Saccharomyces cerevisiae S288C: one gene and its partners. The protein of the gene in region 1 interacts with the protein of each later gene in a biochemical or structural test. Each region holds a gene or a part of one and is shown in the gene's direction. Other genes may lie near its edges.

What was found.
Region 2: the proteins of PSE1 (region 1) and GSP1 form a complex in vitro, tested with the Saccharomyces cerevisiae proteins (5 studies listed by BioGRID).
Region 3: the proteins of PSE1 (region 1) and YRA1 form a complex in vitro, tested with the Saccharomyces cerevisiae proteins (one study listed by BioGRID).

Annotation. Positions count from the first base shown.
Region 1 is NC_001145.3:890,130-893,889, reverse strand, and holds the start of PSE1 (importin PSE1), read left to right. Parts: upstream 1-1,668; coding exon 1,669-3,760. Other genes in the region: NIP1 (translation initiation factor eIF3 core subunit c), read left to right, coding at 1-902. UniProt on the Saccharomyces cerevisiae protein: Functions in nuclear protein import as nuclear transport receptor. Serves as receptor for classical and arginine/glycine-rich nuclear localization signals (cNLS and rg-NLS) in cargo substrates.
Region 2 is NC_001144.5:720,111-723,286, reverse strand, and holds GSP1 (Ran GTPase GSP1), read left to right. Parts: upstream 1-1,856; coding exon 1,857-2,516; downstream 2,517-3,176. Other genes in the region: YLR296W (uncharacterized protein), read right to left, coding at 1-309; ATP14 (F1F0 ATP synthase subunit h), read left to right, coding at 914-1,288; Sec63 complex subunit SEC72, read left to right, coding at 2,917-3,176. UniProt on the Saccharomyces cerevisiae protein: GTP-binding protein involved in nucleocytoplasmic transport. Required for the import of protein into the nucleus and also for RNA export. Essential for cell viability.
Region 3 is NC_001136.10:1,234,883-1,238,614, forward strand, and holds YRA1 (RNA-binding protein YRA1), read left to right. Parts: upstream 1-1,675; coding exon 1,676-1,960; intron 1,961-2,726; coding exon 2,727-3,122; downstream 3,123-3,732. Other genes in the region: phenylpyruvate decarboxylase ARO10, read left to right, coding at 1-1,243; COI1 (Coi1p), read right to left, coding at 3,430-3,732. UniProt on the Saccharomyces cerevisiae protein: RNA-binding RNA annealing protein. May have a role in pre-mRNA metabolism. Component the TREX complex, which operates in coupling transcription elongation to mRNA export.

The DNA of each region.
Region 1 (3,760 bases):
ACAAAGATTTCCAAACTGCTAAAGATATGTTACTAACTTCCCAAGTTCAAACAAATATCAACCAATTCGATTCATCCCTACAAATTTTATTCAACAGGGTTGTTGTTCAATTGGGTCTATCCGCCTTTAAATTATGTTTGATTGAAGAATGTCATCAAATTTTGAATGATCTTCTGTCAAGTTCTCACTTAAGAGAAATTTTGGGCCAACAATCCCTACACAGAATATCTCTCAATTCTAGTAACAATGCTTCAGCTGATGAGCGTGCTAGACAATGTTTGCCATATCACCAACACATCAATCTCGATTTAATCGATGTCGTCTTCTTAACATGTTCCTTATTGATCGAAATTCCAAGAATGACTGCCTTCTATTCCGGTATTAAGGTCAAGAGAATTCCTTACTCTCCAAAATCCATTCGTCGTTCCTTAGAACATTACGACAAGTTAAGTTTCCAAGGTCCACCAGAAACTTTAAGAGATTATGTCTTGTTTGCTGCCAAATCAATGCAAAAAGGTAACTGGAGAGACTCTGTTAAATACTTAAGAGAAATAAAATCTTGGGCTTTATTACCAAACATGGAAACGGTGTTGAATAGTTTAACGGAAAGAGTACAAGTTGAATCTTTGAAGACTTATTTCTTTTCTTTCAAGAGGTTCTATTCAAGTTTTTCTGTTGCTAAACTAGCCGAATTATTTGATCTTCCAGAAAATAAGGTGGTTGAAGTTTTGCAATCTGTTATCGCAGAATTGGAAATCCCAGCCAAATTAAACGACGAGAAGACCATCTTTGTTGTCGAAAAGGGTGATGAAATTACTAAATTGGAAGAAGCAATGGTAAAATTGAACAAAGAATATAAAATCGCTAAAGAACGTCTTAACCCACCATCAAATCGTCGTTGATCAATAAAATCAAAAACTACTTCGAAAGCATTCTTAACAAAAAATCATTGTAGATAGAAGAATAACATCAGCAACCAAAAAATATAGAAGGAAACTAAGCAGGAGAGTATAAACCATATTCACTTTTGCTTTTTATTCTTGATATTGCTCATCTTTTTTTTTTTCGATTCTTTTAGCGATCTCTTTATTTTTAGTTTTAGGGTTTGAATCTAATCGTCTTCACTGTACATTACACATAAGCAAATATATATATAGTTTTTTTTGTTACGTAAACACTCTTTATAATATAATACAAACTATTAAACTTTAAGAAAAGTATGATATGCCGCTTTATTTCTTCATCAAATATAATCTCAAAATATATGGATCATGAGTGTTGATAAATAATCCAATAGCCTATCATGGACTATCTGTTTGACATTCTAAAAAAAAAAATAAATTGTACGAACTGCAGTAAATCGGTATTATCATCATGACGCACGATATCAATTCTTTGCAGAAACTGAAAAATTTTTCATTTTCTACCCAGGAAAAAAAGAAAAATGAAATTCACTAAAAAAATGGGAATACTAATACCAGACGGTCCAATAATCACTATAGTATTATAGACAGCTATAACAGTGATCGAAGTTCGGCGCTCTTCAGATACCGAGTGGCTAATAGACTGAGTAGATCAAAGTGGCAGATAGCCCAAACAAAAGTAATTAGCTTGCAAGCCACTTTATCCTAACGACACGTGATTTCAACCGTAACTAGAGCCATCGCTATGTCTGCTTTACCGGAAGAAGTTAATAGAACATTACTTCAGATTGTCCAGGCGTTTGCTTCCCCTGACAATCAAATACGTTCTGTAGCTGAGAAGGCTCTTAGTGAAGAATGGATTACCGAAAACAATATTGAGTATCTTTTAACTTTTTTGGCTGAACAAGCCGCTTTCTCCCAAGATACAACAGTTGCAGCATTATCTGCTGTTCTGTTTAGAAAATTAGCATTAAAAGCTCCCCCTTCTTCGAAGCTTATGATTATGTCCAAAAATATCACACATATTAGGAAAGAAGTTCTTGCACAAATTCGTTCTTCATTGTTAAAAGGGTTTTTGTCGGAAAGAGCTGATTCAATTAGGCACAAACTATCTGATGCTATTGCTGAGTGTGTTCAAGACGACTTACCAGCATGGCCAGAATTACTACAAGCTTTAATAGAGTCTTTAAAAAGCGGTAACCCAAATTTTAGAGAATCCAGTTTTAGAATTTTGACGACTGTACCTTATTTAATTACCGCTGTTGACATCAACAGTATCTTACCAATTTTTCAATCAGGCTTTACTGATGCAAGTGATAATGTCAAAATTGCTGCAGTTACGGCTTTCGTGGGTTATTTTAAGCAACTACCAAAATCTGAGTGGTCCAAGTTAGGTATTTTATTACCAAGTCTTTTGAATAGTTTACCAAGATTTTTAGATGATGGTAAGGACGATGCCCTTGCATCAGTTTTTGAATCGTTAATTGAGTTGGTGGAATTGGCACCAAAACTATTCAAGGATATGTTTGACCAAATAATACAATTCACTGATATGGTTATAAAAAATAAGGATTTAGAACCTCCAGCAAGAACCACAGCACTCGAACTGCTAACCGTTTTCAGCGAGAACGCTCCCCAAATGTGTAAATCGAACCAGAATTACGGGCAAACTTTAGTGATGGTTACTTTAATCATGATGACGGAGGTATCCATAGATGATGATGATGCAGCAGAATGGATAGAATCTGACGATACCGATGATGAAGAGGAAGTTACATATGACCACGCTCGTCAAGCTCTTGATCGTGTTGCTTTAAAGCTGGGTGGTGAATATTTGGCTGCACCATTGTTCCAATATTTACAGCAAATGATCACATCAACCGAATGGAGAGAAAGATTCGCGGCCATGATGGCACTTTCCTCTGCAGCTGAGGGTTGTGCTGATGTTCTGATCGGCGAGATCCCAAAAATCCTGGATATGGTAATTCCCCTCATCAACGATCCTCATCCAAGAGTACAGTATGGATGTTGTAATGTTTTGGGTCAAATATCTACTGATTTTTCACCATTCATTCAAAGAACTGCACACGATAGAATTTTGCCGGCTTTAATATCTAAACTAACGTCAGAATGCACCTCAAGAGTTCAAACGCACGCCGCAGCGGCTCTGGTTAACTTTTCTGAATTCGCTTCGAAGGATATTCTTGAGCCTTACTTGGATAGTCTATTGACAAATTTATTAGTTTTATTACAAAGCAACAAACTTTACGTACAGGAACAGGCCCTAACAACCATTGCATTTATTGCTGAAGCTGCAAAGAATAAATTTATCAAGTATTACGATACTCTAATGCCATTATTATTAAATGTTTTGAAGGTTAACAATAAAGATAATAGTGTTTTGAAAGGTAAATGTATGGAATGTGCAACTCTGATTGGTTTTGCCGTTGGTAAGGAAAAATTTCATGAGCACTCTCAAGAGCTGATTTCTATATTGGTCGCTTTACAAAACTCAGATATCGATGAAGATGATGCGCTCAGATCATACTTAGAACAAAGTTGGAGCAGGATTTGCCGAATTCTGGGTGATGATTTTGTTCCGTTGTTACCGATTGTTATACCACCCCTGCTAATTACTGCCAAAGCAACGCAAGACGTCGGTTTAATTGAAGAAGAAGAAGCAGCAAATTTCCAACAATATCCAGATTGGGATGTTGTTCAAGTTCAGGGAAAACACATTGCTATTCACACATCCGTCCTTGACGATAAAGTATCAGCAATGGAGCTATTACAAAGCTATGCGACACTTTTAAGAGGCCAATTTGCTGTATATGTTA
Region 2 (3,176 bases), on another chromosome or scaffold:
AAACATGAACACACAACGAATGCCTGTAAACACGCTTGCCGCGCTAGACATGCAAACGATCCTCAAAAAAAAAAAAACGCTCGTATGAAGACCTAATTTACGTATTTTTTTTTTTTTTGTTTTTCGTTTACGCGTTAATTGATCGATTATGAGCTTTTGGGGAAAAGTAATTGCCGCAGCGGCTGTCGTACCGGAAGAGTGTTGTTTTTCATTACCAAAAAGGGATAATAGTGGTTCCTTTATGTGACATTGGTAAGCTGATTGGGCATAATTACTTGCCTGATGACGAATAACGCGAGAACTGCCCATATAGAATCTGACGACGTAAGGAGAAGAAAAAGCGGGAAACGGATTTCTCGTTCTAGGCCTCGGCGGCTCTTAAAATTGTAAAATGAAAATGAGAATAAAATTAAACTATACACAGCTGATCAGCGTTCTAATGAAAAAAAAATGCATTGGAAGGAAAAGCCGAAATACTTCATTTTCTGGGCATTGACGTTCTGTTGCCTCTTGTGCATACACACTTGTTTTTATTGAAATCGAGCTTATTGTAAGAGAACTTGCGCTTATCTTCAAATGCCGCTTTCCTCGAAAAAGCATTTAAACATCATTCAAGATTATTAGTCTATCAAGCTTGTCCAGACTGCTTGTTATTATGTAAAACAAGTATGTTGGTATTGTATTTGATTGCCGATTCTCATATCGCCATACACGAACCAATTATGCATCATAAAAAAAGCGTAGTTCTTTTACCCGACCAACCAACTTCTTCCTTTGTCCTCAATATCAAAGAAAAAAAAAAAAACCCACTGCTCAGATGTTATAAGGAAGGGGTGTTAACTTATATACAGGTTCATCTACCAGTCACCAGTCCATACAAACTTGAACCGTCTGCGTACCAGTCCTAATCAAAATGTTCCCTATCGCTTCCAGAAGAATACTGCTCAATGCTTCAGTTCTGCCATTGAGACTGTGCAATAGAAATTTCACTACCACAAGAATATCCTACAACGTCATACAAGATTTGTATTTGAGGGAACTAAAAGACACCAAACTGGCTCCAAGTACCTTGCAAGATGCTGAAGGTAATGTTAAGCCTTGGAACCCACCACAAAAACCAAATCTACCAGAATTGGAACTTCAAGGCCCAGAGGCTTTAAAGGCTTACACCGAGCAAAATGTAGAAACTGCTCATGTTGCTAAAGAGTCTGAAGAGGGTGAGTCAGAGCCAATTGAAGAGGATTGGCTAGTTTTGGATGATGCTGAGGAAACCAAAGAAAGTCATTGAACTTTTCATAGCATCCTCCTTGTCGAAGAAAAAACAAACAGAACCACAAGCTGAACAAGATCATTATTTTTGGCTTTCTTCCTCTCATCTTTTTATATTCGAATCCAGTACAATAAAGAAAAAGCAAAATACACTACGCACTCTTTGTAATCAGCCACACAAAATGCAGAATTTATTTTTTAAACAAAAAATACAATTGTACATAGACACGTCTTTATCTTTCCTATTACTACTATTCTTTTATTTCAATAACTATTACTTTCTAAGTATGACCTACGCTTCTTTGGTAAATAAATAATGATCCGTTTATGAAGGACATGCGTGGTTCGTCACCTTAGGATAATATCGCTCTGGACGAAAGCTCATCCCACCGAGATAGAAAAAAAATTTTCGTTTCTTTTTTCTTTGGCGAAGATTTTGAAAAATTTGAACTGTATGATCAACTTTTCCTCACCTTTTAAGTTTGTTTCGTTTTTAAACAGGAAGAACTGCTCCTTCAACATTTTTCCCTCAATCGATTTTTAGTCCAGTACAAAAGGAAAATCAAATAAACTCATTTATATTATAAATGTCTGCCCCAGCTGCTAACGGTGAAGTTCCAACATTCAAACTAGTTCTTGTCGGTGATGGTGGTACTGGTAAGACCACTTTTGTCAAGAGACATTTGACCGGTGAATTCGAAAAGAAGTACATCGCCACCATTGGTGTCGAAGTGCATCCTTTATCCTTTTACACCAACTTCGGTGAAATTAAATTTGATGTCTGGGATACTGCCGGCCAAGAAAAATTCGGTGGTTTAAGAGACGGTTACTACATTAACGCCCAATGTGCCATCATCATGTTCGATGTTACTTCCAGAATTACTTACAAGAACGTTCCAAACTGGCACAGGGATTTAGTCCGTGTTTGTGAAAACATCCCAATTGTCTTGTGTGGTAACAAGGTCGATGTCAAAGAAAGAAAGGTCAAGGCCAAGACTATCACTTTCCACAGAAAGAAAAACTTGCAATACTACGATATTTCTGCCAAGTCCAACTACAACTTTGAAAAGCCTTTCTTATGGTTGGCCAGAAAATTGGCTGGTAACCCACAATTAGAATTTGTTGCTTCTCCAGCTTTAGCCCCACCAGAAGTCCAAGTCGATGAACAATTGATGCAACAATACCAACAAGAAATGGAACAAGCTACTGCTTTGCCATTGCCTGATGAAGATGATGCTGATTTATAAGGGACAAACGAGAACAAGCTTTCTTTTTTCCCTACCCTAAACTGTATACATATTTACATTCATCTCGATATAGAAATTCAATAAAAATCCACATGATTTTGAAGATTTTATAATTGCAACAAGAAAACACAAACTAACTGGTACTCCTGTCTTTTATAAAACAGATTTAAATATATAACAAATAGTTGAATGTGAATATGCTGTGATTTAAGTATATTTAAACGTATTTGGCTTGTCTAATATTATATTTTTTAGATCGTTTATGGATCGTTTCAAACGGATGTAGGAGCACACGTAACAATTAGATTATATCTTTGAACATAAAACCAATAGCCTTAAAATCAAAGAAACGTCTCCTTCAACTTGCGTTAAAGGCATACCAAAGCAAGCTTATTCAACCATGGTTACCCTTGAATACAATGCAAACAGTAAACTGATCACTGCGAGTGATGCTGTTGTTGCACTATCTACCGAAACTAATATCGATCAAATAAATGTTCTCACTACATCTTTGATTGGAGAAACCAACCCAAATTTTACACCACAACCGAATGAAGCTCTAAGCAAAATGATCAAGGGTTTATTTGAAAGTGGTATGAAGAATTTACAACAAAAAAAATTGAATGAGGCATTGAAGAATGTTTCTTTAGCAATCGAAAT
Region 3 (3,732 bases), on another chromosome or scaffold:
TGTTCCACGTATATCTCAACAAGATTGTATAGTATACCCTTCTGAAAACCAATTGTCTGACATAATCAACAAGATTACTAGTTGGATATATTCCAGTAAAACACCTGCGATCCTTGGAGACGTACTGACTGATAGGTATGGTGTGAGTAACTTTTTGAACAAGCTTATCTGCAAAACTGGGATTTGGAATTTTTCCACTGTTATGGGAAAATCTGTAATTGATGAGTCAAACCCAACTTATATGGGTCAATATAATGGTAAAGAAGGTTTAAAACAAGTCTATGAACATTTTGAACTGTGCGACTTGGTCTTGCATTTTGGAGTCGACATCAATGAAATTAATAATGGGCATTATACTTTTACTTATAAACCAAATGCTAAAATCATTCAATTTCATCCGAATTATATTCGCCTTGTGGACACTAGGCAGGGCAATGAGCAAATGTTCAAAGGAATCAATTTTGCCCCTATTTTAAAAGAACTATACAAGCGCATTGACGTTTCTAAACTTTCTTTGCAATATGATTCAAATGTAACTCAATATACGAACGAAACAATGCGGTTAGAAGATCCTACCAATGGACAATCAAGCATTATTACACAAGTTCACTTACAAAAGACGATGCCTAAATTTTTGAACCCTGGTGATGTTGTCGTTTGTGAAACAGGCTCTTTTCAATTCTCTGTTCGTGATTTCGCGTTTCCTTCGCAATTAAAATATATATCGCAAGGATTTTTCCTTTCCATTGGCATGGCCCTTCCTGCCGCCCTAGGTGTTGGAATTGCCATGCAAGACCACTCAAACGCTCACATCAATGGTGGCAACGTAAAAGAGGACTATAAGCCAAGATTAATTTTGTTTGAAGGTGACGGTGCAGCACAGATGACAATCCAAGAACTGAGCACCATTCTGAAGTGCAATATTCCACTAGAAGTTATCATTTGGAACAATAACGGCTACACTATTGAAAGAGCCATCATGGGCCCTACCAGGTCGTATAACGACGTTATGTCTTGGAAATGGACCAAACTATTTGAAGCATTCGGAGACTTCGACGGAAAGTATACTAATAGCACTCTCATTCAATGTCCCTCTAAATTAGCACTGAAATTGGAGGAGCTTAAGAATTCAAACAAAAGAAGCGGGATAGAACTTTTAGAAGTCAAATTAGGCGAATTGGATTTCCCCGAACAGCTAAAGTGCATGGTTGAAGCAGCGGCACTTAAAAGAAATAAAAAATAGAAACTTGTGGGCGCAATTATAAAACACTGCTACCAATTGTTCGTTTTCTGTTCATTAACACATAAAAAACCCTTATGTAACTATATTTACAAAGTAAATACGTATATTAAAGCTATTTTACCACTACCACAGAGTTCTTTGTCCAGTTGCTAGTATTTTTTTTTTCGCGACGAGGCAGGGGCGGGGAGACGTGTTGTTTTTCCACGGCTTTCGGCTCACCACTTGAAGAACTATAAAAGGCCGCCAAATTTATCCTTTTTCACTTCTTCCGTTCGCTTTTTTCTGTCATTCCTATCGTGTGTTTAGTAGTAGGTTTTTTTGTTAGAAGAAGTTTTATCCGAAAACTATCGAAGACAAATAGATAAAAAAATCTCCCTCGTTCTATTTGAAACTTTAAGAAATCCATATTAAGAAAATACCTACATCTGCTAAATGTCTGCTAACTTAGATAAATCCTTAGACGAAATCATTGGCTCTAACAAAGCAGGAAGTAATAGAGCCCGTGTCGGTGGTACTCGTGGTAACGGTCCAAGAAGAGTTGGTAAGCAAGTTGGTAGCCAACGTAGGAGCCTTCCAAACAGAAGAGGCCCTATCAGAAAAAATACTAGGGCACCTCCAAACGCAGTCGCTAGAGTTGCCAAGCTCTTGGACACCACTAGAGAGGTCAAGGTCAACGTCGAAGGTTTGCCAAGGGACATTAAGCAGGATGCTGTAAGAGTATGTTAATACGTGAAATGAGAGCTATTTGTTTAGTTACTCGCATCGTCTCGTGTGGATACGAGAAATATTCTTTGTAAGGAAGGATATGGCACACGCTTTTGATCAAGAATTCTCTTTTTAGAGATGAAGAAAGAGTCCGAAATACTTCGCTAGAGAAAATACAAAAAGAGTATCGTTTTCATAAGCCAACCATACCAATTTTTTTCAATACTTCAAATCATGGCCTATAAGGTTGGAATTACCAGCTACCACTGAGAATGGGTTTGTTCTTATTGGCTGGGTTAACTCAAATCAATCTGACTATCTGCTAATCTGTCAATCTTACATTTTTAAGCTGGCGTATTGTGTCGCCTCGACCGTGATAGTTAGTTCCTATTTTTAATAAGCGTATCATCCAATACTGAAGTTGTGGAAGGATCAATTAATTTTGTATCCTTTCAAGAGGGAGTAGCTTTCAGTTTCGAATGGCACCATTTTCAAAAAATAGCTATGGGAAACATGTCTTTCATGAACGTTCGAAAAGATATGAGTGCATCGCTTCATTTTTTTATTATGATAGTTACAAAAATATTTGATTTGAGACACCTAATGAAACCAAAGAGGAACTCACCCATCGTGGTACATGTTTATTTGAGGGTTTATTTTTCCTACGCAATGGTATACTTTTAATACTCTCAACTCCTTGATTGTTTGTGTATTGTCCCTTCCTTCTTTGATTTTATATCATAGAGATATATGACTAACTTTTTTTTTTTTATTATAGGAATTTTTTGCATCTCAAGTAGGTGGTGTTCAAAGAGTTTTGTTGAGTTATAACGAAAGGGGCCAATCTACTGGTATGGCTAACATCACATTCAAAAACGGTGAATTGGCCAGAAGGGCTGTTGAAAGATTTAACGGCTCTCCAATCGATGGAGGCAGATCAAGATTGAGACTTAACCTAATCGTTGATCCAAACCAACGCCCAGTCAAAAGTTTAGCCGACAGGATCAAGGCTATGCCACAAAAAGGCGGAAACGCTCCAAGACCAGTAAAGAGGGGTCCAAATAGAAAAGCTGCTATGGCAAAATCCCAAAACAAACCAAAGAGAGAAAAGCCTGCTAAGAAAAGTCTTGAAGATCTGGACAAGGAAATGGCGGACTATTTCGAAAAGAAATAATTAATTGTCAATTTTTTGTTTGATTTAATTTGGTTTTATTAAATTTAATTTTTCCGAGTTTCATTATGTATTAGTTTCCAGAAAATTTAAAGGATTAAAAAATGTATTAATAAAACTTTGATATGTTTATGTAATAATATTTACCACCGCCACTAGGTGACGCTAACCTACTCATCGGTGACGGCTTTTCTCACTTTTAAAGTTTATTCGGCATATTTGACTCATAATATGTCACTATTTACAGTGCGATGAATATATATATACATAATACTGCATTGAAAAAATGGATAGGTTGATTAAACGTGTGTTACTCGTTTCTCCTCCTATCTAAAAAACCTAATTTGTCACCTCTTTTTCTTGTTACAGCACTAAGCCCGCTACCTTCATATTTACTCTTTCTTACTAATTGATGGTCCTCAGAGCAATCAATGTTGTCTCCTCCATCTTTAGGTATGGGGAACCCTGGTTTGACTTGAGCAAGGTTATCATAATAGTTTTTTTCATTCACTTCACCATTGTTTCCCCGCGCCTTTGGTATAAATTTAGCATCTCTTCTAGCTTTCACTATGGTCTTGACCACATAAATAGACGCAATCCCGGCTGCAGAAAT